Pelodiscus sinensis: one gene and its partners. The protein of the gene in region 4 interacts with the protein of the main gene of each other region in a pairwise test. Links are inferred from orthologs where the notes say so. Each region holds a gene or a part of one and is shown on either strand. Other genes may lie near its edges. The genes, in order: SSNA1, ZBTB9, TRIM41 and EHHADH.

Evidence for each region.
Region 1: the proteins of EHHADH (region 4) and SSNA1 interact in binary tests that used the Homo sapiens proteins (3 or more experiments, as listed by UniProt). The two-hybrid records come from large-scale screens. The link is inferred for Pelodiscus sinensis from reciprocal best matches to the Homo sapiens genes EHHADH and SSNA1.
Region 2: the proteins of EHHADH (region 4) and ZBTB9 interact in binary tests that used the Homo sapiens proteins (3 or more experiments, as listed by UniProt). The two-hybrid records come from large-scale screens. The link is inferred for Pelodiscus sinensis from reciprocal best matches to the Homo sapiens genes EHHADH and ZBTB9.
Region 3: the proteins of EHHADH (region 4) and TRIM41 interact in binary tests that used the Homo sapiens proteins (3 or more experiments, as listed by UniProt). The two-hybrid records come from large-scale screens. The link is inferred for Pelodiscus sinensis from reciprocal best matches to the Homo sapiens genes EHHADH and TRIM41.

What each region holds. Positions count from the first base shown.
Region 1 is NC_134732.1:2,394,993-2,402,935, reverse strand, and holds the start of SSNA1 (microtubule nucleation factor SSNA1), read right to left. Parts: upstream 3,012-7,943; 5' UTR 2,941-3,011; coding exon 2,889-2,940; intron 1-2,888. Other genes in the region: ANAPC2 (anaphase-promoting complex subunit 2), read left to right, coding at 3,071-3,154, 4,520-5,139, 6,435-6,567. UniProt on the Homo sapiens protein: Microtubule-binding protein which stabilizes dynamic microtubules by slowing growth and shrinkage at both plus and minus ends and serves as a sensor of microtubule damage, protecting microtubules from the microtubule-severing enzyme SPAST.
Region 2 is NW_027465855.1:143,116-150,729, reverse strand, and holds the start of ZBTB9 (zinc finger and BTB domain-containing protein 9), read right to left. Parts: upstream 3,005-7,614; coding exon 1,565-3,004; 3' UTR 1-1,564. UniProt on the Homo sapiens protein: May be involved in transcriptional regulation.
Region 3 is NC_134742.1:1,231,567-1,239,208, forward strand, and holds the start of TRIM41 (E3 ubiquitin-protein ligase TRIM41), read right to left. Parts: upstream 3,015-7,642; 5' UTR 2,784-3,014; coding exon 1,914-2,783; intron 1-1,913.
Region 4 is NC_134720.1:3,723,143-3,730,605, forward strand, and holds the start of EHHADH (peroxisomal bifunctional enzyme), read left to right. Parts: upstream 1-4,450; 5' UTR 4,451-4,531; coding exon 4,532-4,608; intron 4,609-7,463. UniProt on the Homo sapiens protein: Peroxisomal trifunctional enzyme possessing 2-enoyl-CoA hydratase, 3-hydroxyacyl-CoA dehydrogenase, and delta 3, delta 2-enoyl-CoA isomerase activities. Catalyzes two of the four reactions of the long chain fatty acids peroxisomal beta-oxidation pathway.

The DNA of each region.
Region 1 (7,943 bases), on a different chromosome or scaffold from region 4:
GCAGCGCATGGGGGGTGCAGGGTGCATGGGGGACAGCGCACGGGGGGCAGGTGCATGGGGGGCAGCGCACAGAGCAGGCGGGAGGCGCGGGGTGCATGGGGGCAGCGCACGGGGGGGTAGGGTGCATGGGGGGCAGCGCACGGGGGGCAGGTGCATGGGGGGCAGCGCACAGAGCAGGCGCGGGGTGCATGGGGGGCAGCGCACAGAGCAGATGGGGGGCAGGGTGCATGGGGGGCAGCGCACGGGGGGGTAGGGTGCATGGGGGCAGCGCACAGAGCAGACGGGGGGTAGGGTGCATGGGGGGCAGCGCACGGGGGGGCAGGGTGCATGGGGGGCAGCGTACAGAGCAGACGGGGGGGCAGGGTGCATGGGGGCGGCGCACGGGGGGGCAGGGTGCATGGGGGCAGCGCACAGAGCAGACGGGGGGCGCGGGGTGCATGGGGGCGGCGCACGGGGGGGCAGGGTGCATGGAGGGCAGCGCACAGAGCAGACGGGGGGTGCATGGGGGCGGCGCACGGGGGGGCAGGGTGCATGGGGGCAGCGCACAGAGCAGACGGGGGGCGCGGGGTGCATGGGGGCGGCGCACGGGGGGGCAGGGTGCATGGGGGCAGCCCACAGAGCAGACGGGGGGCGCGGGGTGCATGGGGGCGGCGCACGGGGGGGCAGGGTGCATGGAGGGCAGCGCACAGAGCAGACGGGGGGTGCATGGGGGCGGCGCACGGGGGGGCAGGGTGCATGGGGGCGGCGCACAGAGCAGACGGGGGGTGCATGGGGGCGGCGCACGGGGGGGCAGGGTGCATGGGGGCGGCGCACAGAGCAGACGGGGGGCGCGGGGTGCATGGGGGGCGGCGCACTGGGGGGGCAGGGTGCATGGGGGCAGCGCACAGAGCAGACGGGGGGCGCGGGGTGCATGGGGGCGGCGCACGGGGGGGCAGGGTGCATGGAGGGCAGCGCACAGAGCAGACGCGGGGTGCATGGGGGCGGCGCACGGGGGGGCAGGGTGCATGGGGCGGCGCACAGAGCAGACGGGGGGCGCGGGGTGCATGGGGGCGGCGCACAGAGCAGACGGGGGGCGCGGGGTGCATGGGGGGCGGCGCACGGGGGGGGCAGGGTGCAGGGGGGCGGCGCACGGGGGGGCAGGGTGCATGGGGGCAGCGCACAGAGCAGACGGGGGGCGCGGGGTGCATGGGGGCGGCGCACGGGGGGGCAGGGTGCATGGAGGGCAGCGCACAGAGCAGACGGGGGGTGCATGGGGGCGGCGCACGGGGGGGCAGGGTGCATGGGGGCGGCGCACAGAGCAGACGGGGGGCGCGGGGTGCATGGGGGCGGCGCACAGAGCAGACGGGGGGCGCGGGGTGCATGGGGGCGGCGCACAGAGCAGACGGGGGGCGCGGGGTGCATGGGGGCGGCGCACGGGGGGGCAGGGTGCATGGAGGGCAGCGCACAGAGCAGACGGGGGGTGCATGGGGGCGGCGCACGGGGGGGCAGGTTGCATGGGGGCGGCGCACAGAGCAGACGGGGGGTGCATGGGGGCGGCGCACAGAGCAGACGGGGGGTGCATGGGGGCGGCGCACGGGGGGGCAGGGTGCATGGGGGCGGCGCACAGAGCAGACGGGGGGTGCATGGGGGCGGCGCACTGGGGGGCAGGGTGCATGAGGGCAGCGCACGGGGGGGCAGGGTGCATGGGGGCAGCGCACAGAGCAGACGGGGGGTGCATGGGGGCGGCGCACGGGGGGGCAGGGTGCATGAGGGCAGCGCACGGGGGGGCAGGGTGCATGGGGGCAGCGCACAGAGCAGACGGGGGGTGCATGGGGGCGGCGCACGGGGGGGCAGGGTGCATGAGGGCGGCGCACAGAGCAGACGGGGGGTGCATGGGGGCGGCGCACGGGGGGGCAGGGTGCATGAGGGCAGCGCACGGGGGGGCAGGGTGCATGGGGGCAGCGCACAGAGCAGACGCGGGGTGCATGGGGGCGGCGCACGGGGGGGCAGGGTGCATGGGGCGGCGCACAGAGCAGACGGGGGGCGCGGGGTGCATGGGGGCGGCGCACAGAGCAGACGGGGGGCGCGGGGTGCATGGGGGGCGGCGCACGGGGGGGGCAGGGTGCAGGGGGGCGGCGCACGGGGGGGCAGGGTGCATGGGGGCAGCGCACAGAGCAGACGGGGGGCGCGGGGTGCATGGGGGCGGCGCACGGGGGGGCAGGGTGCATGGAGGGCAGCGCACAGAGCAGACGGGGGGTGCATGGGGGCGGCGCACGGGGGGGCAGGGTGCATGGGGGCGGCGCACAGAGCAGACGGGGGGCGCGGGGTGCATGGGGGCGGCGCACAGAGCAGACGGGGGGCGCGGGGTGCATGGGGGCGGCGCACAGAGCAGACGGGGGGCGCGGGGTGCATGGGGGCGGCGCACGGGGGGGCAGGGTGCATGGAGGGCAGCGCACAGAGCAGACGGGGGGTGCATGGGGGCGGCGCACGGGGGGGCAGGTTGCATGGGGGCGGCGCACAGAGCAGACGGGGGGTGCATGGGGGCGGCGCACGGGGGGGCAGGGTGCATGAGGGCAGCGCACGGGGGGGCAGGGTGCATGGGGGCAGCGCACAGAGCAGACGGGGGGTGCATGGGGGCGGCGCACGGGGGGGCAGGGTGCATGAGGGCAGCGCACGGGGGGGCAGGGTGCATGAGGGCGGCGCACGGGGGGGCAGGGTGCATGAGGGCGGCGCACAGAGCAGACGGGGGCGCGGGGTGCATGGGGGCGGCGCACAGAACAGACGGGGGGGGCCAGGGTGCATGGGGGGCGCAGCGCACAGAGGGCGGGGAGCAGCGCACGGGGCTGGGGGGGGGGGCTGGCCGCCGGCCCCCCCCGCACCCTCCCCCCCGCGGGTCCCCCCCCGCTCACACTTGACCAGCTCGTTGTTGTAGCTCTGCAGCGCCGCCCCCTGCTGAGTCATGGCGGCCCGAACCCGGCCCGGCGCGCGCCCCGCCCCGCCCCAACCGCCCCGCTCGCCCCGCCCCTCGCCCGGCTCCGCCCCCGCCCGCTCGCCCCGCCCCCGCCTCACGTGCCCCTGGCGCGCGGGCCGGATGGCGGCGGGGCCGGGCCCGGAGCTGTCGGCGGCCTGGCACGCGCTGAGCACCGGCCTGGTGCCGCCCGCCGCGCTGGGGCTGGTGAGTGAGAGCGGCCCCCCCGCAGGCCCCCCCTCGGACCCCCCATGTAGACCCCCCCGTCTCGCCCCCCGACGGCCCCCCCCAAAACGGCCCCCCCCATGCAGCCCCCCAAAACGGCCCCCCCCATGTATACCCGCCCAGACGGCTCCCCCATGTAGACCCCTGTCTCCCCCCCCGACGGACCCCCCATGCAGCCCCCCTCGGACCCCCCTGTCTCCCCCCCGATGACCTCCCCACACGGCCCCCCCATGTAGACCCCCGTCTCTCCCCCTGACGGACCCCCTATGCAGCCCCTCCTCCCACACGGCCCCCCCATGCAGCCCCCCCAAACGGCCCCCCCATGCAGCCCCTCCTCCCACACAGCCCCCCCCATGCAGGCCCCCTTAGCCCCCCCCCAGATGGAGCCTCCCTCCAGGCCTCCTAATCAGCCCCAGACAGCCCCCCACCCTGCAGACAGGCCTAGCCGTGCCCCCCACCCCGGATCCCAGCCATTTCCCCCAACCCCCCCGCCCCGTTTTTGTCCTGAGAACCCCTAAGTGCGTAGGACAGTTCAGTTCGGGTGGGCCCCGGAGAGGGTGTTGGTTGCAGATAAGGCAGCTCGATTTTCTAGTTTTGTTAGGGCATCACTTGGGCAGCAGATTTAAGGTGGTGCCTTTGCACCTCTTCTGAGTGCAGACTTAAGGCTGAACTTCCTGGGGGTCTCAATGTTGTTTCTATCCAATTGCTCTTGCAAGGTCGCAAACCAGAGGAATGGATGTCTGCCCGCACCTTTAAGTGCATTCTCACCCTGGTGTGTGGGAATTGCCTTAGCTTTTGTTCTTGCCAAGTCAAAGATGGTCGCAAGAGAGGAGCCTTGGGATCCCCGCAGGGATTCAGGGCCACCCCTATTCTTAGAATGTTCTAATTTGGAAGCTCATTCACTTAACATTTTCTAGGAAAATGCATATTGTTTCCAAATTGAATCTGCCTGTTCCGAGCCACTGTATTTTCGCTGGTTTAGAGGGAGCAAATTATGGAAACTTCTGTGCACTGAATGGCTGGCATTGTGGCTTTGAGCTCTTCAATAAATAGGCTGCTCACCTGACAGCTCCCATGGCCGCTGTCAGCAAGGGGAGCAGTTGATGCCAGTCACGGTGTGGGTGCTCATGATGTGAACACCTTCCTATCAGCAGGATTGAGACCCCACCCTCTCCACCAACAGCAGGTGGTTGGTAACCTACAGCCGCCTGAAACGTGACCCAAATACCAGTGGGGGACATGCTCCATCCATAGCCTGCTGGCTGTTCTTTGAGGTGGATTTGCAAAGCCCAGCCTCAGTGATTTGTAGGTGCCCAGGCTTGTGTTTAACTTGGTGTGTCTCTTTAGGCAGGCCCCAGATCAGGTTCAGCAGGGCTGCTGAAGGACAGTGACTTGCAGGCGGCCGTGGAAGTGCTGCAGCGCTATGACTTGCACTCTGTCCTGGAAGAATGGTTCACTGAAGTTTTACAGACAGACTTGCAGGCCAATATAGCTCCTGAATTCTGGAATTGTATTGGCCAGTATGAAAACACGGCGGAAGAGCCACAGTGCTCCTTGCTTCTCCTGGATGCCTTTTGTCTGCTCAAGTGCCGCCTCGACCCTTATCTGAACAGCTTGGACCTTCTGGAAAAATGGACCAGAATGGGCTTGCTCCTTGGAACAGGCTCCCAGGTGCTGCGAGAGAAAGTCTACACCATGTTCAAAGCCATCCTTTTCTTCACCACCACCGAGACGTTCCAGGAGATGATCCAGCAGTTCTACAGCCGCACCTTCAAGATTTACATGCGCCAGGGGAAGAAGGGTGAAGGCGGAGTGAAGGCGTGCGAGAGCAGCATGAGTGAGAACGAGCCAGAGAGCGATCCGGAGGACGGAGGAGACGGCCGGCAGTGCCTGGGCTGCAGCAGTAAGAGAGAGCAGTGCTGGTGTCCCACAGCCATGGAGCAGTTCCAGCAGCTCAGTGAAATCCTGTGCGTATCTTACAGCAAGGTGGCGAGTTGTAGGGGCCTGCGCTCCCCCCCTCCCCCTCGCGTTTGCTGGCTCAGGTCTCCCTGAGTTCCGCCACCCTATGCTTGCCCCCCAGCCCCGCCTGCTGTCCCTGGGTGATTTTAAATGCCTTGGGGGGGCCCCCACTGCAAGCAGCGCACAGAGACCCACTCTTCTCCCCCCACCCTCCCAGGCCCCTCGGAGGTGCTGGCAGCCACGCAGAGTGAGCGGCAGGAAGCCTCTCTAGCCCCGCTGCACTGCTGATGGGGGCTTCCAGGGTGTGTTAATTCACCTAGGGGCAGCAGGAGGAACCAAAGGATGCGCAGGGCGGAAGGCATGTGAGTGGCAGGTGGGGCGGGAAGAGCAGTGGGAGCAGCACCGTGCACTAGGAGCTGCTGCCAGAGGGTGGTGCCTCCCAGGTAAACATGGCACCCTTTACCCTGGTGCTGCCCCCAAGCTCCAAACTGCCTCCCAGAGCCTGCCTCCTCCTGCGGCTTCCTCCCCCACCCCAGGCCAGAGCCTGCATCCGGGCCTCATCCACATTCCCTCCCAGAGCATGCACCCTGAACCCCTCCCGCATCCAAACTCCCTCCAAGAGCCTGCACCCCTCCTACCCACCGATCCTCTGCCCAGACTCTTGCTAACAAGACCAAGATGGCTGCACACAAACTCCCTTACTCCCTTTTCCTGCCTCCACACTACTGATTGTAATGAGAGATTATGGTATGCTGATGGTATGAAATTTGCATATAAATTCCAGTTCAGCAGTTTCACCTTGCAACCTGGTTTGGAAGGTTTTTTTACGTTGGAAGTTTGATATTTGATATGACTTGGGCTATATCACGCGATCCTGTAGTCTGTTGTTTAGAATCCGAGAGTGTTCTATTGTCGCATTTGCTTTCCATTCGTGTCAGATGTTAACATTTGGCTGCAGTTGCCCTGTTTTCTGTTTTTTTTCCTCTCCTAGTGGATAAAATCCCTTTCCGAATAACCACCCTGCTTACTGAGCAAACCCCATCCCCATAAGTCTGTGGCACTGTTGTCCAGCTAGAGATTTAGACAGCTCACCGGGGTATTGGCTCACCGAAGTACCGGGTTGACATCTGGCAGAGTTGTAACGATGTTTGTCTGGGCTACTGGCTCTGTGGAGAAGGAAGCCAGTACCTAATGTGACCCCTGCTAGCCCATGTGCGGTACAGGCCCCGTCTCCGGTTACTTCACACTTAGTTTCATGCTTCCCTTTCTGTGTGCTCTAAATGAGGCCGGTGTTTGTCTGCAGCCACAGGCTGAACTTGCTGGAGAGAGTGAGCGCCGATGCTGTCACCACCATCCTGCACAGGATGCTAGAGGAGAGGATGGAGCGCAGATGCAGGGGCGAGTATGAGCGCTCTTTCCTGACTGAGTTCCAGGAGGTAAGGCCTACAGCAGGCTCGGAGGGGGGACACAGCACTTCCCTGTGGAAGGGATGATATCAAAATGAAACTCCTGTTTGGAAAAGTCCCAACCTGGCCCGCTAGGCGCCCCTCCTCCCCCATTTCACTGTTTCCCTTGTGTTAATTACAGCATTAATACAGGGAAGTCCTATGGCCTGTGTTATGCTGGAGGTCACAGTAGATAATTGCCCTTGGTCTTTTGACTCGATGAATCTATGTACTGAGCCCAATAATTGGTGTATGGCTGAAGGATTTCTAGAAAAGCAGCCAGTCTTGATCTGAAGACCTCAAGAGATGAAGACTTCACCACTTGCCTTGGTTGGTTGTGCCAATGGTAAATCACCTTATTAAAAAAATTTAGCTTAGCATCTGATTTGAATTTGTCTGTGTGACGTAGTGGGGGTACCTGGCTGGTTTCTATGCTGCTGGCTCTGGGGTAACCCCCACTGGCTGTCGTGGGGACCACGACCCAGCAAAACAGGATGAGTCACTATGCAAACCAGTGGCCAGACACCCCCCATGGAGAGGAACAAAGGAAGGTGGAATGCTGCCTTGGCTGGGGGGCAGGGCTGGAAGTTAGTGAGTTGGTTGCTGGCTGTCGGAGGGCATGGAGGAGAGCCTAGGGGAAGGGGCTGGAGTTTAGGGGCCCAGTCTCCCCCATCTCAAGGGGGCCTGAGGCATCCTAGCCCAGTTCCTGTAACCAGATTACATCTGTGCTGCGCTGTGCTGGAGGAGCAATAAACCACCCTCAATTCCACTGGCTGGTGCAGTCTGTTTGTGCCATTTCGGGGTGCAGGAGACGGGGAACCCCCAACGCGCCGTCACAGTCTGGCTGGAGCTTCCCACCACTGGTTCTTGTTCTGCCTTTTTCTGCTTTAGAGAGACCGTTCATAGCTGCCATTTTCTCCCCCAAACGGTACAACGTCACCTGGCATCTTTGGTAAATTCAACAGATTGTGCTCTCAAGTCTCCCACCACCAGGCGTGTTCTCCAGCCCTGCAATCATTGTTGTGGTTCTTCTCCATCCTCTCCAGCTGTTCAGCAGCTCTTTAAAAATGTGGGCCCCAGAACTGGATGTGCTCTTCTAATATTGGCCTCGCCAGTGCTGTGCGGGAGGTAGAATCGTTGCCCTGCTCGCACCTCCTGTGCTTCCACATCTCAGGGTCACACTAACTCTCTTTGCCCCAGGATTGTGCTGGGAGTTCATGTTCAGTTGCTTGTCTACTGTGCCTCCCTCAATCCTTATCAGTCACTGCTCTCCCCCCCCCCCCCTTCATTCTTGGTTCCTCCCCCCTCTCCCCCCCCGGTCTGCATTCTTGGTTCCTCCCCCCTCTCCCCCCCCCCCCCCCGGTCTG
Region 2 (7,614 bases), on a different chromosome or scaffold from region 4:
GGATGGCCCTTAAGTTGTTTATTCTGTTCATTCCCTCTGAAGTATCTGGCACTGGCCAATCAGAAACATGTTCTGACCCACCCAGGCTGCTCCAATAGCAGATGCCTATAGGGAGGTGCCTATAGTTATAAACAATGGCCTGGCTTGCCCTGTTTGACTCAACATCACACACACACACACACACACACACACACACACACCCCCACCCCCAGCTCATGATGCCTTGTGGGAAGGGGCATGAACTACAGCAGGGAACTGATAGGAAAAAAGAGGTCAAATAAAACAAAGGCACTAAGAGATACCCCCATGACAGGGCCAAGAAAGGCAGAGGCTGCTGAAGCCAGAAAGCAGGCTAAGGAGACTGCAGAGAGGCTGGCAAGCCCACCCCCACATGAGTCTTGGTGTGAACTACTCAGGGACTTTGGCTCTACAGAACATGGCACACTGCTCCCTGCTTTGTGCTCCAGCCAGCACAGAGACCCATTCACTCCAGCTCAAAGCACCCTCCCACCAGTCACTGCCCAAAAGGATGAGCCAGGTCCCAACCCAAGCTGGCCAGATGCTGGGGCTCACTGCAGAATCTTGGGCCCCAGGCCTGGGACCTGCAGCCCAGCACAGTGGAATGGCTCAGCTGCTCCAGCATAAAGGGGAGCTCACGCTGGGCCTTGTTTGAGGGAGAGTAGGGAGGTAGTGGGAGCCACAAAGACAAAAGCCTCCCTTCCAGACCTAGTTCCATCCCATTCAGCTGAGCTGGCCACATCATCTCCTTGAAGCTTTCCCCTATCCTGCCCATGCCCCCACCACAGTACTGGATTCAGCGGTGAGCTCTGGTTTGTGCCTCTCAATCATTTTGAGAGCACTGTTGAAAAGCCAGCCTGACTTTGACAAGGCCAGTCACTGTCCTGCCAGGGAGGGATGCAGGAGGCTGCAGAGGATGAGTCCAAGGCTGGGGGCGGGGGGAGGCACAGATCTCTTTTATTGAGTCTCCTGTGGCAGGGGGTTGGAATACCCCAGGTTGGGCACATGGCCTCAAAGTGTCAGAGACCAGGTTCCAGAGGAGTGCTCCCAGAAAAGGGCAGGTCGCCCCCCACCACCCGCCGCTGGAGCAGGCATGAGGGACTCAGCCTTGGCTGGGACATTGCCCAGAAGTCAGACTCCCAGGAGGGCAGCTCGGGACTGTGGTTTTCACAGGCCCAACCTGCCACTGCTGCCATCAGGGTCTGCGATTAAGCAATCTGCTGCACCAGCGCTCCTCTCTCACCTGCCCTATTGTCGCTGGCCCAAAGTGCCCACAGCAGGGCAGATTTAATCCCTTTCCTTGAGGTTCCCATCAGCCCCATGCTCCTGCCTCCTGCCCCAAGTTCCTCCACCTTACACCAGGGCAAGGTCTGTAACAAATGCCACACCATGGAGCAGCACAAGAGCCCAAATCCCTTGGCCTGCCCAGCTGCCCTTCATACTTTGGTGTCCACCGGGCCATGGAGCAGGGTTCTGAGCTGCTCAGGGGCTCAAACCAGCCTCAAGAAGGGTGGTAGGAGTCCTCCCTGCAGCCCCCATCCAAGGTTTATTTGTAGGTCCAGCAAGCAGTGGCCCAGCCCTGGCCTTTGCACAATTCCTTGTGTTTGAGGAAGCAGTTCTGCACACGGAACTTGCGCCCACAGTCCTCGCAGGAGTACAGGTTCCCATCATGGGTCTTCATGTGCTCTGTCAGATGGTGCTTCAGCTTGAACTTCTTGTTGCAGACAGAGCAGCCGAAGGGGCGCAGGCTGAAGGTCAGCATGATGTGCCGGTCTCGCTTGGGCTTGACAGCAAAGCGCTTGCCGCACAGACAACCAAACTTCTTCCCATCAGGGGCTGCCACAATTTTGACAGGTGCGTGCACCACCTGGCCATGTACCGCGTGGGCAATGATCTCGTTGCCATGTAGGTCCACTGGCTTCCAGGAGCTCTGGGGGAAGCTGGCCTCATCTGAGGAGAGGGGCTGGGCCTTAATGGTGAAGCCAGGGGTGGGGATGGAGGAGGCGGCACCTGTGGTTGCAGCAGGGATTATGTAGCTGACTTCACTGCTTGGCTGGAAGTCTGCTTGGCACAGACCCCGCACCTCAGCCATGGCCAATGCCCGCTCCTGTGCCAATGACTTGAGAAAGCTGGCCTCCCCGGCTGCACTCAGGCCTCCTCCCAGCGCAGCCCCTGCAGCCTCATCTGGGTCAAAGCGCTCCTGTTTGATGTAGAAGATCTTGGGGTGATCGCGGGGGGCATGAAAGGGGCCGTCCAGCTCCCCAGAAGATGGCCCTTTGGAGCCGCCTCTGCCACCAACCTCTCCATCTTCCTCCAGGACAATCTTCACTGCCTTGTCCACAGAGCCACTAAAAATCCGGGCCTGGTGCTCGTGCTCCTCCTCCTCCTCCTCCTCCTCCTCTTCCTCCTCCTGGGACACCCGGATCTTCATCACCTCATTGTCAGGGCAGCCGGGTGCTGCCCGGCCTGACGATACCCCGCCATGGCCAGGCCCCTCTGAGCTTCCACCCACCGGCTCTCCATCATCCTTCACAGCAAAATAATTGCTGCTACTGGGGGACTGGTTCTCACTTGCCCTGCTGGACCAGGGCCGGCAGGGGCCCCCCTCCAGCTCCTTCAGGATCTCCGAGCACTGGTCCACCACCTGCCACATCTGCAGTCCACTAGCCACCAGCAGGTGGCTGGGCAGCGCTTCCATCAGGAGCTTGAGGCGGCCGGAGTAGATGAGCTGCAGTAAGTTCTCGAAGGCGTCAGGCTCGATGACGCTGGGCAGCACGATGCAGTTGGTGTCATTGAGGAGTAGCTTGTCATGGAAGTAGGGCGAGGAGGCGGCCAGGACACTCTTGTGAGCCTGGAAGACCCGGCCCTGCACGTGGATGGAAATGTCGCAGAACTTGCCCTCCAAGCGGTGCTTGTTGAGAGATTCCAGCAGCACAGCCGCGTAATGGGGGAACTCGATCTGGATGCTGCGGGTCTCGGGCTCCATGGCACCGCCTGCCCAGGGCGGGCACCTGCAATGGCAGAGACAGGGAGTAAAGGGAACCCCCCCTGCGATGCTGCTGCCCCTGGGAGAGAGGGAAATGTTCACTACCCCTTGTGGTAAGAGAACTCCCATTCCCACAACAGCGAGGCAGGTGCAGGGCCAGCCCCACTGGAGGGGAGACTGGTGTAGAAGTTGTGTTCCCAGGACTACAGCCCTCCCACCCCCGCCAGGGATCCCAGGGATTTGGACAGAGGGAGAATGAGGGACTTCACAGCCCAGGCTCCTGGAAGTAGGAACCTGTACCCCCCAGCATACAGCAGCTACCCCATGGCAGCACCTCTTGGAAACTGCTCCCACCTCTGCCCCCACCCAGCCCAGCCCCAGTGCCCCCTTCCCGGCCCTGCCCTACAGCGCCCCGCCCATCCCCAGTACCCCCTGCCCTGTCCCCCAGTGCCCCGCCCATCCCCAGTGCCCCCTGCCCCCCCAGTGCCCCGCCCATCCCCAGCGCCCCCACCCATCCCCAGTGCCCCCTGCCCTGTCCCCCAGTGCCCCGCCCATCCCCAGCAACTCGCCCATCCCCGCAGTGCCCCCTGCCCTGCCCCGCAGCGCCCCGCCCATCCCCAGCAATCCGCCCTGTCCTGCCCCACAGCACCCCGCCCATCCCCAGCGCCCCCTGCCCTGCCCCACAGCGCCCCCGCCCATCCACAGCACCCCGCCCCACAGCACCCCGCCCATCCACAGCACCCCCTACCCCACAGCGCCCCCGCCCTGCCCCACAGCACCCCGCCCATCCCCAGTGCCCCCTACCCTGTCCCCCAGTGCCCCGCCCATCCCCAGTGCCCCCTACCCTGTCCCCCAGTGCCCCGCCCATCCCCAGTGCCCCCTGCCCTGTCCCCCAGTGCCCCGCCCATCCCCAGCACCCCCTGCCCTGCCCCACAGCGCCCCCGCCCATCCCCAGTGCCCCCTGCCCTGCCCCACAGCGCCCCGCCCATCCACAGCGCCCCCTGCCCTGCCCCCCAGTGCCCCGCCCATCCCCAGCAACCCGCCCTGTCCTGCCCCACAGCGCCCCGCCCATCCCCCGCGCGCGGGCCGGATCCAGGGCTCACCTGCGGGCCGCGCGCAGCAGGGCGAGTCCCAGCGGCCCGGGCTCAGCGAGCTCGAGCCCCGGGAAACCCCGCCCCCTCCGCCCGGGCCGACCGAAATGGAGCCCAGGAAACCCCGCCCTCTGCCCCTGGTCCCCCGGGCAACCAGGGAAGGACACGCCACCGGGGGGCCATCAACCAACCAAAAGCGACCGCTGCCCCCGCCCTGCAGCACGTAGCCAATCGCTGGCGGGACCGTGGCCACGCGCCGCCCCGAGCCTGTCCCACAGGCGGGCCAACCAGCGCTCAGCCCCCGGGACACGCCCACGCCGGCTAGCACAACCCCCTGGGAGCCGGGGCGCCTGATCTCCAGTCAGCCAATCCGAGGACAGCGCCCCGCAGCCCGCGTCCGATTGGTGGACAGATCTGTCTTCCCGCCCCCTTCCGTTTCGCATTCCAATTGGCCACGGGAGCGTCCTGTGCTTGACTGGCAGGGCTGGGCGACGTTGCGACCCAACCCCGCCCCCCCGCGTCCCCGCCACTTGCCGGGCGCCCCACGCGGGACCCCCACGCAGGAGCCTCCCCGCCCCCACGGGCCGTGCCCTGGGCCCCACGCGGAACCCCCACGCAGGAGCCTCCCCGCCCCCACGGGCCGTGCCCTGGGCCCCACGCGGAACCCCCACGCAGGAGCCTCCCCGCCCCCACGGGCCGTGCCCTGGGCCCCACGCGGGACCCCCACGCAGGAGCCTCCCCGCCCCGACGGGCCGTGCCCTGGGCCCCACGCGGGACCCCCACGCAGGAGCCTCCCCGCCCCCACGGGCCGTGCCCTGGGCCCCACGCGGAACCCCCACGCAGGAGCCTCCCCGCCCGCACGGGCCGTGCCCTGGGCCCCACGCGGGACCCCCACGCAGGAGCCTCCCCGCCCCGACGGGCCGTGCCCTGGGCCCCACGCGGGACCCCCACGCAGGAGCCTCCCCGCCCCGACGGGCCGTGCCCTGGGCCCCACGCGGAACCCTCCCACACGCTGCCCTGCGCCCCACAGAAGCCTCCAGGGCCCCACACGGGACCCCCACACACAGTGCCCTGTGGCCCCACGCAGGAGCCTTCCCGCCCCGACGGGCCGTGCCCTGGGCCCCACGCGGGACCCTCCCACACGCTGCCCTGCGCCCCACAGAAGCCTCCAGGGCCCCACACGGGACCCCCACACACGGTGCCCTGTGGCCCCACGCAGGAGCCTCCCCGCCCCGACGGGCCGTGCCCTGGGCCCCACGCGGGACCCCCACGCAGGAGCCTCCCCGCCCCCACGGGCCGTGCCCTGGGCCCCACGCGGGACCCCCACGCAGGAGCCTCCCCGCCCCGACGGGCCGTGCCCTGGGCCCCACGCGGGACCCCCACGCAGGAGCCTCCCCGCCCCCACGGGCCGTGCCCTGGGCCCCACGCGGGACCCCCACGCAGGAGCCTCCCCGCCCCCACGGGCCGTGCCCTGGGCCCCACGCGGGACCCCCACGCAGGAGCCTCCCCGCCCCCACGGGCCGTGCCCTGGGCCCCACGCGGGACCCCCACGCAGGAGCCTCCCCGCCCCCACGGGCCGTGCCCTGGGCCCCACGCGGAACCCTCCCACACGCTGCCCTGCGCCCCACAGAAGCCTCCAGGGCCCCACACAGGACCCCCACACATGGTGCCCTGTGGCCCCACATGGGACCTCCACACACGATGTCTTGTGGCCCCTCGCAGGAGCCTCCAGGGCCCCACATGGGACCCCCACACACGGTGCCCTGTGGCCCCATGCAGGAGCCTTCCCGCCCCCACGGGCTGTGCCCTGGGCCCCACGTGGGACCCCCACACACACTACCCTGCGCCCCACACAGGAGCCTCCTGGGCCCCACGCAGAACCCCCACACACGGTGCCCTGTGGCCCCACGCAGGAGCCTCCCTGGCCCCCACGGGCCATGCCCTGGGGCTTCAGGCCAAGGTGGCATAAAAGAACAATCGCTGTTTATTAAACGTTTCTCCGTTGGCACCACACACTCCAGAAAAATGAGAAAAAATAAAATCGACATAAAATAAAACGGAGAGCGAGACGCCCAGGTGGTCCGACACAGCGTCAGGGCGGGCGCTCGTGACCTGAACTCCCTTCCCAAGGGGATATGTACAGAGAATGAGGTCCAGAGAGGTCTATATACAGTACAAATCCAGTGGTAATTACAGCGCCCAGCCTGGGGGCGATGTGGCCAGGGGAGGTAGGGAAGGGTAGAGGAAATTTCACATATGTACAAACTTTTATATAATAATAATAATTAATACGTATAAATATCATGGCGCCACCCGAGTCGCCGCTGTCTGGGGGTGGGGGAGGACAGGGAGAGTCCTTACAAAAGAAATACGGACTGAGGTGCAGGAGGGGGCAAGGGAGGGCTGGTTAATGGCGAGTCTGAAATAGAGACACAAACAGCAAAGAAACACCCAGTACAATCACTGCGCTGACCACATTCACCCAGCAGCTCAGACCATAGCACAACGGTGAATAGCCACAAGAGTCCCCTCCAGTTCTCCGTGCTCAGGTGGGGGGGGTCGCTCCCCCGCCCCGGTGCCCTGCACGCGCTGGCGGGTGGGCAGAGAAATGGCTTCTTCATTATTTTGTTGGTTGTTTCCCCCCCAACAACCCCAGCCTGGGGGGACAGGGGGTCTGAGAACAGGGAGAAGGAAAGAAAGAAAGAAAGAAAGAAAAGGCCCCTCCCTCATTGCCCTCCCCAGAAAAAAACCAATCAATGTCTAGATAATCATCATTTCCAAAGACAGAGGGGGGGTGCAGGACACGGGGATGGGGCTGAGCAGGCAAAGCCCTTTATGAGAGTATAGAGAGCGCAGAGAGCAGTGGGAGAGGAAGGTGGGATCCCACCACTGGGACCAGCTGAGAGATGGGGAGAGATCCCCAATGCTGACACCAGGCAGGACTGGCAGAGGCCATGGCAAACCTTAGGCCTGAGCCTAGCCAGGAAGGACAGAAGGGGTGGTCTTTCCCTCGGCCAGGGCAGGGCTGTGGGGAGCGAGGATGGTATGTGATGGGTGGGGCAGGGCTAGTACTTGCTATTCCACAAGTCTTCGACCCTGACCCAAATCCCATGCTGGAGGGAAGAGAGAAATACTGGAACAAAGAGCTATGAGCCCTCGCCCCCTGAGAATCCCTCCTGCCAGGCACAGAGCCCCCCCCTACAGCAAAATGGGGAGAGCTTTGCCTCCAGCTGCCACCAGTCTCTGCTGCCCCTTGAGTTTCCAACCCTCCAGGCTTGTCCTGGAGTCTCCGGGTATTAAAGATTATGTCATGTGACGAAACCTCCAGGAATGCGGCCAACCAACCAAAATGAGCCCTTCAGCTGCCCCCGTGGGCAGGCTGGAGGGGTTTCCCTGCCCCCCAGGCAAGGAGGGACAATGCAATAAAATGGCTGCCAGGGCGAGACCACTCCTGAGAAATAGGGAGGGGGAAGAGGTATTGTCCCCATTTCCTTCAAGGGGAGGCGGAGGTCCATGGCA
Region 3 (7,642 bases), on a different chromosome or scaffold from region 4:
AAGCCCACGCAGGCGCTTTGAGATCCCTCCCTGCCTGGCGTCAGGCGCCGGCCACGCACACAGGAAAAGCTGGCGAGAGAAATAAAATACACGCGCTCGCCGCTCCCAGTCGCCTCTAGTTACAGGACTATTCGGCCTGGCTCCTGCCAACCTTCGAGGGGGAAATTTTACCCCGCCCTCCGGGCCCTGATTTTCAGGGCCACGCTGATCGGAATTTGTGATTCGAGCTACGAGGGGAGTTCTCCTTGGAGGCACCAGCCACGGACCGGGGTGCTGCCGTGCTGGGCGCTGGACACACAGCCCCCCAGAGAGCCCAGCACGGATCCAGAATTTCGATCCCTCCGTGGAGGTGCCCCGGAATGAGCACGGAGAAGGCCGGCTCACCCTCGTGACGCCGGGCAACAGAGCCGTAAGCCGGCGGCGTCCCTCTAAAGCCTTCTGCGATGCTCGGGGCCTGGCGTCTTCCTGCCTGTCTCAGGTTTGCTGCCGGCTGTCCCCGGGTCTAATGCCTGGATGTGCGCTCAGGGGACCCTCTGTGCCCAGCAGCGCTGGCTCTGGACACGCTGTGATGTCCACTCTGGCTGGGCATTCACGGATTGCTGGGTCGGGCTGTGGGTGACCCCTACCGCCCCGTGCTGCTCTGCAGAGACTGTGTGTGTGTCCGTGTGCACCGCCCAGCGGGGGGTGGTCCCTGAGGGCAGGCACGAAGGCCATGGCCTAGCTCAGTGGTCCCCAACCTTTGGGGGCTGCTGCGCGCCAGGGGGCGGGGCTGGCCCAGATAGTTCAGCGGGCGCACATAAATGCCTCGGTGGGCCTAGCCATTGCTCACCCGGCACGGGGAAGGAGTTTGATCAAAGGAAGGGGTGTGGCTACTTGGGGGGAGTGGGTGAGCAGTGGCGGAGAGAGGGGCTGTCTCGAACAGACTGAGTCGAGTCCGGGGGGGTTCAGGGGCCTGTGTACCCCTGCCCCCCAAGAGGTCGAAGGCTGCCTGCCCTGACTCTTAGGTCCGCATCGAGTCTGCGCTGTGCTGTATCTCGGAAGAGCAGCAAAACCTTCTACTCCACTCCCATAGCTCCACCATCTGTCCCAGCCGACCCTCCACGTTGTCACCCGCCAGCCAACGAACCCCCCTTGGCCTCCCGGAGCCAACGCGGTACCTCCAGCCACGCGCTGGCCTTACCGGACCCACTGGGGCCCCGGCGCCTCCCCCGGGCACGCCAACGGCTCCCAGACACCCCACCAGGGACGTTAAAAAGCGTGTAACTCGTCAGTCGTGAAGTCGACAAAAGGTTTGTCACCTCCGCCACAAGTCCTCAGTCCCAGCATGCGCGGGGTCCCAGGAGAGCGGTAGCTCCCGGGACCCAGCGCAAGGCAGCCTGCCAACGTACGTCCTGGCGGAAGGGATGCGCGTTAGGCAGGTTACATATCGGTTCACTGAATAGTCGAGCAGCCTCATGAATTCTTCTCAGTTACTTAACCATTCGATAGTCCCCGTGGGCAGGGCCGGCAGACGCCCGAGGAGCCCCCCACACTCCGCGCTGCTGCCGCTGTATCAGAGGCAGCAGCGGGGGTGCCAGGCGGGAGCTGGTCTCAGACCCAGCTGCTCTCGTGGACCGACTGCCTGTCTGAGCCGCAGAGGGGGCAGGTCCCAGACCTGTCCCAAGCCAGGACTGAGCCGGGCTGCTGGCCAGCCTGCTAAAAGTGTACCGGCCGGGGGAAAGAGGGAGGAACGCACGTCGTCTGCAGCATTAACCGATACGCTTCGGTTACGGGTTAATCGACTACGCCATTACATCATAACGCGTGTAGCCGATAGCACGGACGTGTTCGCATCCGCTTCTCGGTTAACCGGCTGCACTTCTACAGCCGCGCCCGGCCCAGCGGACTCCGGCGACCCTTCCCCACCGGCGTACCTTGTAATCCTGCACCACCTCCTCCAGCGGCACCACGCTGTGGTGCTTGTGGCTCCGGGACTCCCGGCACACCACGCAGATGGCCTGCTCGTCCACCTCGCAGAAGAGCTTGAGGGGCTCTTGGTGTTTCTCGCACAGGGCTCGTCTCTCCAGCGCCCCCGGCGCCGCGGCCCCCTCGGGCCTCGCTGAGGTCCCCACAGCAGCCGGGGACGCGAGCCGCTGCGGGAGCGGGTGCATCTGTCGGATGATGTGCACCATGTTGGCCAGCTGGAGGTTGGGCCGGAAGTTCCTCTGGGAGAAGGTCTTGCGGCACTGGGGGCAGGTGAAGGGGGGGAGCGGTCGAGGCCGGGGCGCCACGGCGGCCGGGGGCGTGGGCGTCAGCAGCTCCTCCTCCTCCTCCTCCTCCTCCAGGTCCTCCTCCTCCTCCATCACCTCCTCGGCGTAGTCGTCCTCCTCGAAGTACAGCTCGTCGCCCGCCTCGTCCTCCCACATGTCGTCCTCCCCCGGGTCGTCCCAGAAGTCGGCTTCCTCGTCCTCCTCGCTCCACATGTCATCCTCGTCCTCGGCCCCTTCCTCCTCCTCCTCCTCCTCCTCATCGTTGTAATCGGCCTGGTCGTCCAGCTCGTCCTCCGCGCCGCCCAGCCCCGCCGCCTCGGCCGCGTAGCCGGCCCGGCCCTCGCCCGCCTCCTCGCCCCCCCAGAGCTGGGTGATGCAGACGCGGCAGAAGTTGTGGCCGCAGCCGATGGAGACGGGGTCGGTGAAGTAGTCCAGGCAGATGGCGCAGACGGCCTCCTCCTGCAGCGTCTCCACCGCGCTGGGCTGCCCGCACGGCATCCCCCCGGGGCCGCCTTCCCCGGCCACCGCCGCCATGGGCCCCCCCCGCCCTCAGCTTCCCCCTGAGAGCCTCAGCCCCCCACTTCACCCGGGGGTCCTCAGCCCCCCTGCTTCCTCCTGGGGGTCCCCCGACCCTCCTGCTTCCTCCTGGGGGTCCTCAGCCCCCCTGCTTCCTCCTGGGGGTCCCCCGACCTTCCTGCTTCCTCCTGGGGGTCCTCAGCCCCCCTGCTTTCTCCTGGGGGTCCCTCGACCCTCCTGCTTCCCCCTGGGGGTCCCCCAACCCTCCTACTTCCTCCTGGGGGTCCTCAGCCCCCCTGCTTTCTCCTGGGGGTCCCCCGACCTTCCTGCTTCCTCCTGGGGGTCCTCAGCCCCCCTGCTTCCTCCTGGGGGTCCCCCGACCTTCCTGCTTCCTCCTGGGGGTCCTCAGCCCCCCTGCTTCCTTCTGGGGGTCCTCAGCCCCCCTGCTTTCTCCTGGGGGTCCTCAGCCCCCCTGCTTTCTCCTGGGGGTCCCTCGACCCTCCTGCTTCCCCCTGGGGGTCCCCCGACCCTCCTACTTCCTCCTGGGGGTCCTCAGCCCCCCTGCTTCCTCCTGGGGGTCCCCCGACCTTCCTGCTTCCTCCTGGGGGTCCTCAGCCCCCCTGCTTCCTCCTGGGGGTCCCCCGACCTTCCTGCTTCCTCCTGGGGGTCCTCAGCCCCCCTGCTTCCTTCTGGGGGTCCTCAGCCCCCCTGCTTTCTCCTGGGGGTCCTCAGCCCCCCTACTTCCTCCTGGGGGTCCTCAGCCCCCCTGCTTCCTCCTGGGGGTCCCCCGACCTTCCTGCTTCCTCCTGGGGGTCCTCAGCCCCCCTGCTTCCTCCTGGGGGTCCTCAGCCCCCCTGCTTTCTCCTGGGGGTCCTCAGCCCCCCTACTTCCTCCTGGGGGTCCTCAGCCCCCCTGCTTCCTCCTGGGGGTCCCCCGACCCCTCAGCCCCTCCCCCACTAGGGGCCCTGCCCGGCTGCCCGAGGACGCTCTACCCGCGCGCTCTATGGTGGCTGTCAAGGCAAGCGGGGGAAGGGGGGGATAAGAAGAGGCAGCGGGAGCCTTATTTCCGTTTCCGCCGGAAGTGGCGGCGGGACCTTTTTACCGCTCCGCCACGGGCGCGCGGCGGGGCATGTGACCGGAAGTGGCTCCCCCCCCCCCCGGCGCGCGTTCCGCCGCTCTCCGGCAGGGAGGGGGGGGGGAAGGATGAGGACAGCGCGTCATGTGACCGGAACTGCCGGCCCCACGCTCCATTCTTTCCCCCCCGCCCGTTGGGAGGTTCTGCGCGCGGCGCTCCGGCTCGGATCCGCCCCGCCTCCCCGTGTGACGTCACACGCCCGGCCTCCCTCTCGCCCCTGGAGTTCCAGGGGGCGGGGCCTACTTCTGGAGGGGGCGGGACCGCTCCTAAGCTCCGCCCCCAGTGGGGTGGGAGGTGCTGAGGAGGGGGGGACGCGCTCTGGCTCCGCCTCCTTCTCGCCCCTAAGTTCCAAGGGGGCGGGGCCGATGACGCTGAAGGGGGCGGGGCCGCCTCTAAGCCCCGCCCCCGGTGGGGTAGAAGACGCTGGGGGGGGGGCGCTCTGGCTCTGGCCTCTTTCTCACCCATAAATTCCAAAGGGGCGGGGCCTACGTTTGTGGGGGCGGGGCCGCCCTAAGCCCCGCCCCCAGTGGGGTGGGAGGTGCTGAGGGGGGGCACGTTGCGGAGGGAGGGTGTGTGGGGGGGGAGTGGCCACCCAGGAGAGAGCTGGAGCCCCCCCCAGCCAGCAGTGCCTCGGGGGTGGTGCACATTGGCATGCGCCTTGGTGCACTGCACAAAATTTATTCCACACCGAAAGAAAAAAAATTGCGGAAGGGAGGGGGCCCTGCTGAAGAGGCATTTGTGGAGCCTGCCTGGAGCCGGGGGTGGCGAGCCGGGAGGAGACCCCCTGGGGGAAGCAGCGGTGGGTAGGTAAGAGTGCTCCCGTTAGGGGTGCACAGAGATCTTCCGGGGACCGGCCCCGAGTTTGACCACCGGCTGCTCGGCGCGGTGCCCGGGAAGCCTGTCCCCACGACACGCCTAGCGCCCCGCCCCGCCTAGTGTCCCCGGACGCGCCCGTCCCACCCGCCCGGAGCCGTGGATTTCCCGGAGCAGCGTGCGACCGCGAGGGAACAGCCGGCCCACGGCACGGTAAGAGCGCACGGCGGCGCTTTTGTGGCTCGCCGCGGGAGCGAGGCGTTTTTAAGTGCGGCGGGGCCCACCCCAATTTCTAGCACGAGGCTCTCCAGTCCTCTGCTCGCGAGGCCCCTCGGTTCCTGTAGTCGAAGGCCTGGTGCAGGCAGGGCTGTCCCGGGAGGGCCGCCCCGCAAGGCCTAACTTGGAGGTGTCCGGAAAAAACTCCCCGAAACAACTCTGAGGTCCAGCCATGCTGAATGAACCATGTGGGATCCTTGGAGGCACTGGAGGCTGAGATCCATAAAAAGCCAGGGCACGAGGGGCCGTGTTTAACCCCTTTTCACGGGGGCGGACGTATTCCTTCCATCCCAGGTGGTTCCCTCACTGCTGGGAGCCCTCGCCAGCCGGCCTTCCCTGGACGCTGAGCCCTCGGCCCAGGTACGTTTGCGGGAAAAACATTGGGTGAGCAAAAAACCCCCCCCCCCAAAAAAGGCCACGAGGACCAAAGTTGTTGAGAAATAAAAACAGCCTAACAACAACCTCACAAAAGAGTTACGGCGCCTTTATATCATCTTGCTTTCCCCATGCCCACCAGAGGCGGAGGGGAAGACTGTCCCAAGCGGCCTTCCGTCCCCGAAAAACAGAAAATACCCGACATTTTACATGTCCGGTATTTTCTGTTTGTTTTACTGGACAGAAGTTGCAAATACTGGACTGTCGGGGGCCAAAACCGGACACATGGCCACCCTGGAGAGCTCCAAATGCCGCCCAACGGATGAGCAGAGCGCCCGCGGTCTGCTGGTGGTGCACATCGCCACCGGCCTCGGTGCACCGCACAAAATTTATTCCACGCGCCAATGGGGGGAAAACGGAAGGGCCCATTTTGAAGCAGTTTCGACAACCTCTCTGGGAGGCAGCCGGCGGAGAGGGGGAGGAAAGAGGGGGGCTGATTTTAACCGGCCACTCTTAGCCCAGGCGCTGGTGGTATCCCCCTGGGGAGACAGAGGTGAGGAACAAGGGGTTTCCTACAGATCCCAGGCCAGACTTTTCCCCCGGGGATGGAAGTTGCTGGATAGGAAGCAAGTCTGGGGTCAGTACAATATAGGGCTGGACATTTGGCAAAGCCCAGACTGGAAAAGGAGACAGGCCTATTTTAGGTGAAATTGCATCAACAGCCCGGCTAGCTCAGTCGGTAGAGCATGAGACTCTTAATCTCAGGGTCGTGGGTTCGAGCCCCACGTTGGGCGGCTGAAAATTTTTACCCCAAGTTTTTTATTTTAAACTCTTTTTTCCTCCCTGGCTGTAAAGTTGTGTCTGTTTCCAGGGTCTGGCTGGTCTTGTAAAGGCAGCTAAGTCAAGGGGGGGCTCATGTTCCCCCCCCCCCCCCACTCCAAAGCCAAGTTCTGAGCTGGTCTGTCTGCCTGTCTGCTAAACCCAGACCAGCTGCATTTCCTCAGCAACTCAGGGAACTGGGCTGATTTTTAAAGGGGATTGGTCTGGAGACAGGCCAAGAACTGATGGAGCATTTGAATCACAAGCCAAAAGTCCAGCAGCGAAAGTGAGTCCATGTGGTTTTCCTACCCAGCACCATGGGGGCAAAAAAGGGAGGAATGTTGTTGGTGTTAATTCTTTTTTTTCCTGTGCTTTTCTCAGACATGCCAGGATGTACATTTCAAACACCAGGACCTAGCAAAAGTTTAGCAGTTTATTATTCTTAATTGGATTTACAATCATTTGTTTCCAGCATGATATTGATTAATAGTAATTGCAATTGTAACATGACAGTCAGTATTAATGAACAACAATAATCATTCATAATACATATGCTTGACACAATGGCTCTCACAACTTGGCTAGATTTGCTCCAGGGCTGACTTCAGCCTAACATTGGATACAAGACAAACTTCAAAAACACCAAAAGGTCTGGTAGCACTTTATAGACTAACGTAACATGGAGATGGGATCATGAGCTATCCTGGGCACAGCCCTCTTCTTCAGATGACCAGAGCTTTGAGTTTAGGGTGTGCAGACCCAAAATAAATAGGGGAGAAGCGAGAGGGGGGAAGGAGGAAAAAAAAGGGGGGGGGGAGGAACAAGGAGCAGAAGGTATGAAAATATCTATGTGTCTAGAGTACAGGGATTTTTCGAAAAAAGTGGCCTTTTTTCGAAAAATCTTTACCTGCGTCTAGGCTGCTGCTGCGTTCTTTCGAAAGTCAATCGAAAGAACCCGGCGGTGTTTTCGACCGCAGAAAATCTCATTCTATGAGGAAGAACGCCTTTTTTGAAAGTGCTCTTTCGAAAAAAAGGCTCTAGAGGTAATGCAAACCGGGCTTTTTCGAAAGAGAGCATGCAGACAGCCCGGGTGCTCTCTTTCGAAAAAGCGGCTTGCTTTTTCGATAGTACCAACGGTCGTCTAAAAAAAAAACCCCCACAAATGGTCTGGTAGCACTTTATAGAATAGACTAACAAAACATGTGGATGGTTCGTCTATGAAATGCTACCAGATCACTGATTGTAGTCTAGACGCTTTTTTTCGAAAGAGGCTTTTTTGAAAGTATCCTTCAAAAAAGCCTCTTTAGAAAAAGGCTTCCAGTTTAGACGTAGCCAAAGGGAAAACCAAATAAGCAGAACTAGTAATCTATAAGCACCTAAAGACCAGAGAGTTAAAAGAAGCAGATAAGGATAAAAGAATATACAAGGTTCAGAGAAAAAAGACCCTTTGGTTTATAGG
Region 4 (7,463 bases):
AAAGGCTTCTTTGTCGGGGCATCGCGTCCAGACTCTCCCGATCTGCCGACAAACAGCTGATCGGCAGATCGGGGCAGCCATTTAAATTTAAATGAAGCCGCGATTATTTTAATCGCGGCTTCATTTCCCTCTTCCGATCTGGCTAATCTACATGCCTCCGTCGAAGGAGGCATGTAGTCTAGACACACCCATTGTTACATATCAGGTGAATGGGATGTCTCTCCTTGCTCTTTGCAAATGTGGTGGGGAGGAGTGGGTTGCATCTGTGATGGGTTAGATCACAGAAGTCCCCTTGAATTTGTCACCACATGTGCTGATCACACCACTGAGCCCCGCCTACCTGCTCTGTGGGGTGCCCTACCAACCTGTGCTACTGGGCCAGAAGCTCTGGTTTCCCCCAGCCAAGGCACAGAGTTGGGCTAACAGCCCCCCAGCAGAGTAACACAGATGCTGATAACAGCTCTGGGAGAGCTCAGCTATAGCGACTTGATGGCATCCAAGAGTACAGCCCTCTAAAGAGACCAAACCCCCAAATAAATCAGTTTTACTCTTTATAAAAGTTTGACACAGAGAAAGCTCAGAGTTGCTCTCTTTATCAAGGAAAGAGAGATGCAGTAGTTGCTCCTTCCACATAACAATTATCTATGCTGGGCCTGATAATAAATACAAATGTTTCATTAAGTATAAAAGGTAGGATTTAAGTGATTGCATGTGAAAACAGATCAAAGCAGATTACTAATCTCAAATAAACAAGACATGCCAGCTAAGCCTAATACACGAGGGCTGTGTCTATATTGGTGTGATCTTGTGCAAAAGCAACTGCAAAACTTGCTGCCTGTCTACACTGGCTGTGAGTTCTTGTGCAAGTACACTGATGTTCTAATGTATTAAATCAGTGCTTCTTGCACAAGAACTCTGATGCTCCCATTCAGGAATAAGCCCTCTTGCGCAACTGTTCTTGCGCAAGAGGCCAGTGTAGACAGGCAACATGAATTTCTTGTGCAAGAAAGCTCTATGGTTAAAATGGCCATCAGAGCTTTCTTGCGCAAGAGAGCATCTACACTGGCATGGATGCTCTTGCGCAAAAGCACATCTCTTGCGCAAATGCACATGCCAGTGTAGATGCTCTCTTCTGGAAGAGTTTTTGCACAAGAATTCTTCTGCAAAAGAGTTCTTGCGCAAGATCATGCCAGTGTAGACGTAGCCTAAAAAATACTGTTACAGATCATATTTCTCACCCTACTCTTTATTTCAGGAAAAATCCTTACAATCAAAGCTGATCTTTTCTCTGGCCTGAGTCTAACAGCTTCTTGTGTATCCTCTTAGGGTGGGGAGGGAGTTTCAAAAGCTAGCTGAAGACCATCATTGATTATTTCCCATCCCTTAAATAGAATTTCCCCAGGGTGAGAAACCTTTGTTCAATTCTCCCCCCTACCCCCCACACGCACACTGTGGAAAATACCAAATTCAAGATGGATTCCAGTATCAAGTGGCATGGTCACATATCTTTGTAAGACCAACCACAATTGGGGATTACAGGAAAAACAAAACCATTCACAGATGAGTACCAAGCCCAAGTTCCTTAAGTACCACTAAAGGCTTTCCCTAGAAGACCTAGATTAATAAAACAGGTTTCCACTTAATATTTCTAACTTCACATTCAAGAATGATTCCTGCCTACAAAGAGAATATACACACTCAGGGGATCACATGCATTTGAATGATATATTACTTGCCATGTTTTGCACAAAGCATATTTGAGTTCTGCATATTCATATTCAAAAACACATTTCCATAAAATATAGGAGTGGAGCATCATAGCATCTCATTGTGTTGTGTCTCTTTGTTATACATACGTGTGTGTCCGCATTTCGCTGCTGTGAGGCTTGGTGGGGAGGACCCCTGCCTCATGCACAGCACAGTGTGGTGTTATTCTATGCTGGTGGTTTCTGTATTTCTTTGCAGGGTGAAATAACCCTCGTGCTCCAAACACTTTCCAAGCAGGCTCTCAGTTGCAGCGTCCCTTTGAATGGCAGCTCTCATGACACACCACATTTGTCTGCCTTGGCCACCTCTCAGGGCTCTGTGCCAGGTGGATGGGGTGTCGCTCAATACGGGGTGGATGTAGCCTCTGTCTCTGCAACTGGAGATGGGGGTGGGGGACCAAGGAGGATGGAACTGGGACTGCTTAGCAAGGCAGCTGGGAGTGCAGAGCAGGCTGGGCCGGGCCAGAGGGGTTACCCTAGGCAGGGAGACGGGGGTGGGGCAGGCTGAGCAGAAAGGGCTGTGCCCACTGGAGTCTGGAATTGGAGGTGCTGTGAGTGGCACCAGTTCCAGATGTACCAGTAGCAATGTGAGTGTGTGTGGCAGGGTTGTACCAATTGCGCTGTGAGGGGGCGATTGTACCAGTGGCGATGTGAGGGGAGGGTGGCCAGGTGTGCGGTTTTGAACCAGACAGTCCAGTATCTGAGCTTTCTGTTTGGGAAACAGATTGAGAAAATAGAAATCGCCCCTATTTTCTAGATAAGATGTCATGTAGATTGTGACCTAATGTCAAGTGTGCCCCTATTTTAGTTGAAAACATCTGGCAACCCTAGGGGAGAGATTGCACCAGTGGCGATGTGAGGGGGGGGGATTGTACCAGTGGCGATGTGAGGGGGGGATTGTACCAGGCGCGCTGTGAGCTGGGGGGGATTATACCAGTGGGATGTGGGGGGGATAGATTGTACCAGGTGCGCTGTGAGCTGGGGAGAGATTGTACCAGTGGCGATGTGAGGGGGGGGATTGTACCAGGCGCTCTGTGAACTGGGGGGGATTATACCAGTGGGATGTGGGGGGGGATAGATTGTACCAGGTGCACTGTGAGCTGGGGAGATTGTACCAGTGGTGATGTGAAGGGAGGATGGGGATGGGATTGTACCAGTGGCGATGTGAGGGGGGGATCGTACCAGGTGCGCTGTGAGCCGGGGGGTGGGTTGTACCAGTGGCGATGTGAAGAGGGGATGGGGATGGGATTGTACCAGTGGCGATGTGAAAAGGGGGATGGGGATGGGATTGTACCAGTGGCGATGTGAAGGGGGGGATGGGGATGGGATTGTACCAGTGGCGATGTGAAGAGGGGGATGGGGATGGGATTGTACCAGTGGCGATGTGAAGGGGGGATGGGGTAGGATTGTACCAGTGGCGATGTGAGCTGGGGGATGGGGTGGGATTGTACCAGTGGCGATGTGAAGGGGGGGGATGGGGATGGGATTGTACCAGTGGTGATGTGAAGAGGGGTATGGGGATGGGATTGTACCAGTGGCGATGTGAAGGGGGATGCGGTGGGATTGTACCAGTGGCGATGTGAGCTGGGGGATGGGGTGGGATTGTACCAGTGGCGATGTGAAGGGGGGGGATGGGGATGGGATTGTACCAGTGGTGATGTGAAGAGGGGGATGGGGATGGGATTGTACCAGTGGCGATGTGAAGGGGGGATGGGGTAGGATTGTACCAGTGGCGATGTGAGCTGGGGGATGGGGATGGGATTGTACCAGTGGCGATGTGAAGGGGGATGGGGTGGGATTGTACCAGTGGCGATGTGAAGGGGGATGCGGTGGGATTGTACCAGTGGCGATGTGAGCTGGGGGATGGGGTGGGATTGTACCAGTGGCGATGTGAAGGGGGGGGATGGGGATGGGATTGTACCAGTGGTGATGTGAAGAGGGGGATGGGGATGGGATTGTACCAGTGGCGATGTGAAGGGGGGATGGGGTAGGATTGTACCAGTGGCGATGTGAGCTGGGGGATGGGGATGGGATTGTACCAGTGGCGATGTGAAGGGGGATGGGGTGGGATTGTACCAGTGGCGATGTGAAGGGGGGGATGGGGTGGGATTGTACCAGTGGCGATGTGAAGGGGGGGATGGGGATGGGATTGTACCAGTGGCGATGTGAAGGGGGGGATGGGGTGGGATTGTACCAGTGGCGATGTGAAGGGGGGGATGGGGATGGGATTGTACCAGTGGCGATGTGAAGGGGGGGATGGGGTGGGATTGTACCAGTGGCGATGTGAGGGGGGGATCGTACCAGGTGCGCTGTGAGCTGGGGTGGGATTGTACCAGTGGCGGTGGGAGCGGGGGGTAGGAAGGCTGGTTGTACCAGTGGCGGAGAGCGGGGGGGGGGGGTAGGAAGGCTGGTTGTACCAATGGCGGAGAGCGGGGGGGGGTTGGAAGGCTGGTTGTACCAGTGGCGGTGGGAGCGGGGGGTAGGAAGGCTGGTTGTACCAGTGGCGGAGAGCGGGGGGGGGGGGTAGGAAGGCTGGTTGTACCAGTGGCGGAGAGCGGGGGGGGGGGTAGGAAGGCTGGTTGTACCAATGGCGGAGAGCGGGGGGGGGGGCTGTACACTGTGGCCGGGCGTGGCGTGCGGCGGGTCTGTGTGGGGTCTGTCCCGGAACGCGGGGGGCGGGGTCACCACGGGCTGGGCGGGGCTTTGCCCGGCCGCTCGGGGAAGGCCCCGCCCCGGGCAGAGTCCGGCGCTGGCTCGCGGCGGGGATGGCGGCGCGGTGCACGCGCGGCGCCGCGGCCGTGGCGCTGATCCGCCTGAGCCACCCGCCGCTCAACACGCTGAGGTACCGCCGCGCCCCTCCCCCCGCGCGGGGACCTGTTCTTGGGGCTGTTCCGGGCCCGGCGCCCCGCGTGTCCGCGGGCGGGGCAGGCTGGGGCCCCGCTCCCCTCAGGGGCAGTTGCGCGGGTGTCCCTGGGGCGGAGCCTGCCTGCAGCACAGAGTCATTCCCACGGCTCCTTTCTCCCTCAGCATAGGGGCGCTTGTCTGTGCAACTCGGGCTCTTTGCGACAAAGGGGCTTTGCTCTTCCTCTTCGCTAAGCTTTAGGAGAGTTGGTCAGAAGATAGGAATGTCTGCAAAATACCTTACAGTTCTGGGGGGGGGGGGATTGTCCCTACTAGGATGAGAGATCAGAAACACACATTATTTTGCTGGAAACACATTCAAGGAAGATTTTATTTTGGGGGGACCACAATGGAATTTCCCTGCTGCCTGCTTCACAGCTCTTTTCACTTTTACTTCATTGAAAAGAGCGTTTCTGGCTGGCTGCCCGAGAGGCAGAGAGCTGTCATGCTCAGTCTCTGGCCCTCCTCCAACCCTGGAGCACAGGCTCTGAGCACCTTTGCTCTCTGCCTGTTCAACTCCAAGCTCCCAGGCTTTACTCCCCGTCTCCCTGCAGACCAGGGAGACGGGGAGCAGCTTTTCTTGCCCCGGAGGACGGGGGCGGCGGACCGTGGCGCATCTGGGCGTCCCGCGGCTCCTGTCCTCCGGGGCGAGAAAAGCCCCATACGTAACTGCGGATCCGACATAAGTCGGATCCGCGTAACTCGGGGACTGCCCATATTGATAAAATGGAGAGAGTGCAGAAAAGAGCTACAGAAAGGATTTGAGCACTGAGAAAATGCCTTACAGCAAGACAGAAAGAGCTTAATCTGTTTGGTTCCTCAGAAAGAAGATTAAGTGGTGACTTGATAACTGTGTACAGGTACTGTTTTAGGGAGAAAATACCAGGTAGTAAAGGGCTCTTTAATCCTGCAGAGAAAGGCAGAACAAGAAGCAGTGGCTAGAAGTTGAAACCTGACACATTCAAATGGGAGATAAGGCACACTTTTTAAATAGTGAGGATGAGATGATTAATCACTAGAACAAACTACTCTGGGAAGTGGTGGATTCTTTACCACTTGACACCTTCAAATCAAGACTGGAAGGTACGCAATAGCAAAGCACAAGTCATTGGCCTTGGCTGGGTAATAGCATGAAATATGATATATGATCTATTCTAGACAAAATTATTCTTATTTGTATTACCTTAGTGTTTAAGAACTTACGTCATCTTTGTGGTCTTCAGTTATGCATGTCTGAATTCACCCATGCACCTCATTAGGTACACAGTCATCCAAGGCATTGGTTCCAGCCCGTGAAACTCAAATAAATTAGCAAAAACATCAAGGAGACCTGTGGCACCTTAAAGACTGACAGACTTATTTGAGCATAAACTTTCATGGTAAAAACCACTTTGTCAGATGCATCTGATGAAGTGGTTTTTACCCACAAATGCTTATGCCTGAATAAATCTGTCGGTCTTTAAGGTGACACAGCACTCCTCATTGTTTTTGCTCACCTTCGATTTTTCCTTTTTCGTGGATGTTAAGTAATATGCAGAAGGAAAACCTTTCTGCTATGAGCCTCCGAAAGTCTGAGGAGCGCCCATCTTGTGAACTCTAGGCTATGTCTACACTAGCGCGATCTTGCGCCAGAGATATGCAAAGGAGGCTAAGTGTGGAATATCGCTGCACCTCATTTGCATATCTAATGAGCCATCATTTTTGCAGAAGAGGCTCTTGCGCCAGAAGGAGCGTCTACACTGCCCCTTCTTGCGCAAGAAAAACCCTCTCGAGCAATGCCACTACGCTGATTATTTTCAGGAATAACGGCATTGTGCAAGAGGGTCTTTCTTGCGCAAGAAGGGGCAGTGTAGACGCTCCTTCTGGTGCAAGAGCCTCTTCCACAAAAATGGCGGCTCATTAGATATGCAAATGAGGCTCGGTGATATTCCACGCTTAGCCTCATTTGCATATCTCTGGCGCAAAATCGTGCCAGTGTAGACATAGCCTAAGGGTATGTCTACACAGCTGGGCTAAAGTTGAAATAAGCTGTGCAGCTTGAGCTACATCAATTGCATAGCTTAAGTCAAAATAGCTTATTTTGGTTTTTGGTGCTGTCTATGCAGCAGGAAGTCTGAGAAAGAGCACTCTTCCTCCGATTTCCCTTACTCCTCTTAAAACAAGGGTTACAGGAATCAGAGTAAGAAGTCCTCAAGCTTGACATTATTTTGACGTTCTGTCGAAATAAGTGCTTGTAACGTAGATGCAAACTATGTTATTTCAGAATAATGTTGGTTATTCTGAAATAACACTGCTGTGTAGATGTACCCCAAGTGTTTGAAAGAGAAACACTTTGTGGCACTTTAAAAAAAACAAAACAAAAAAAACCCCAAGAGGCAATTGAAGGAAGTTCACACACACAAAGCTTACCTAACTTTGTTGGAATTGCTGTTTATAAAATACAGGACAGGACCATTGTGATTAAGAAAACCCTCTGCATAAAAGGAATAGGAATAGAAAGCTAAGGTCATCTTTATAAGTATTCTCTCACCTTACGGGGCATACATTTAAAGACACAAATATAAATCGCCATTAAAATAGTTAACCAGTTAAATGATTACAATTATGCAGGGTAACTGATTAACCTTTGGAGGGCTAGTGCCCTCCAGGCAGGGGCCAGCCTGCTGGCCAGCTCACCAGAAGCATGGAGCTCTTTGAGCCCCATTGGCCCACCACCGGCTGGGGGCTGGTCAGGCTGGCTCCATTGCACCTTGGCTGGGGGTGGGGTATTGGGAGAGGGACAGTTACTAGGTAAGC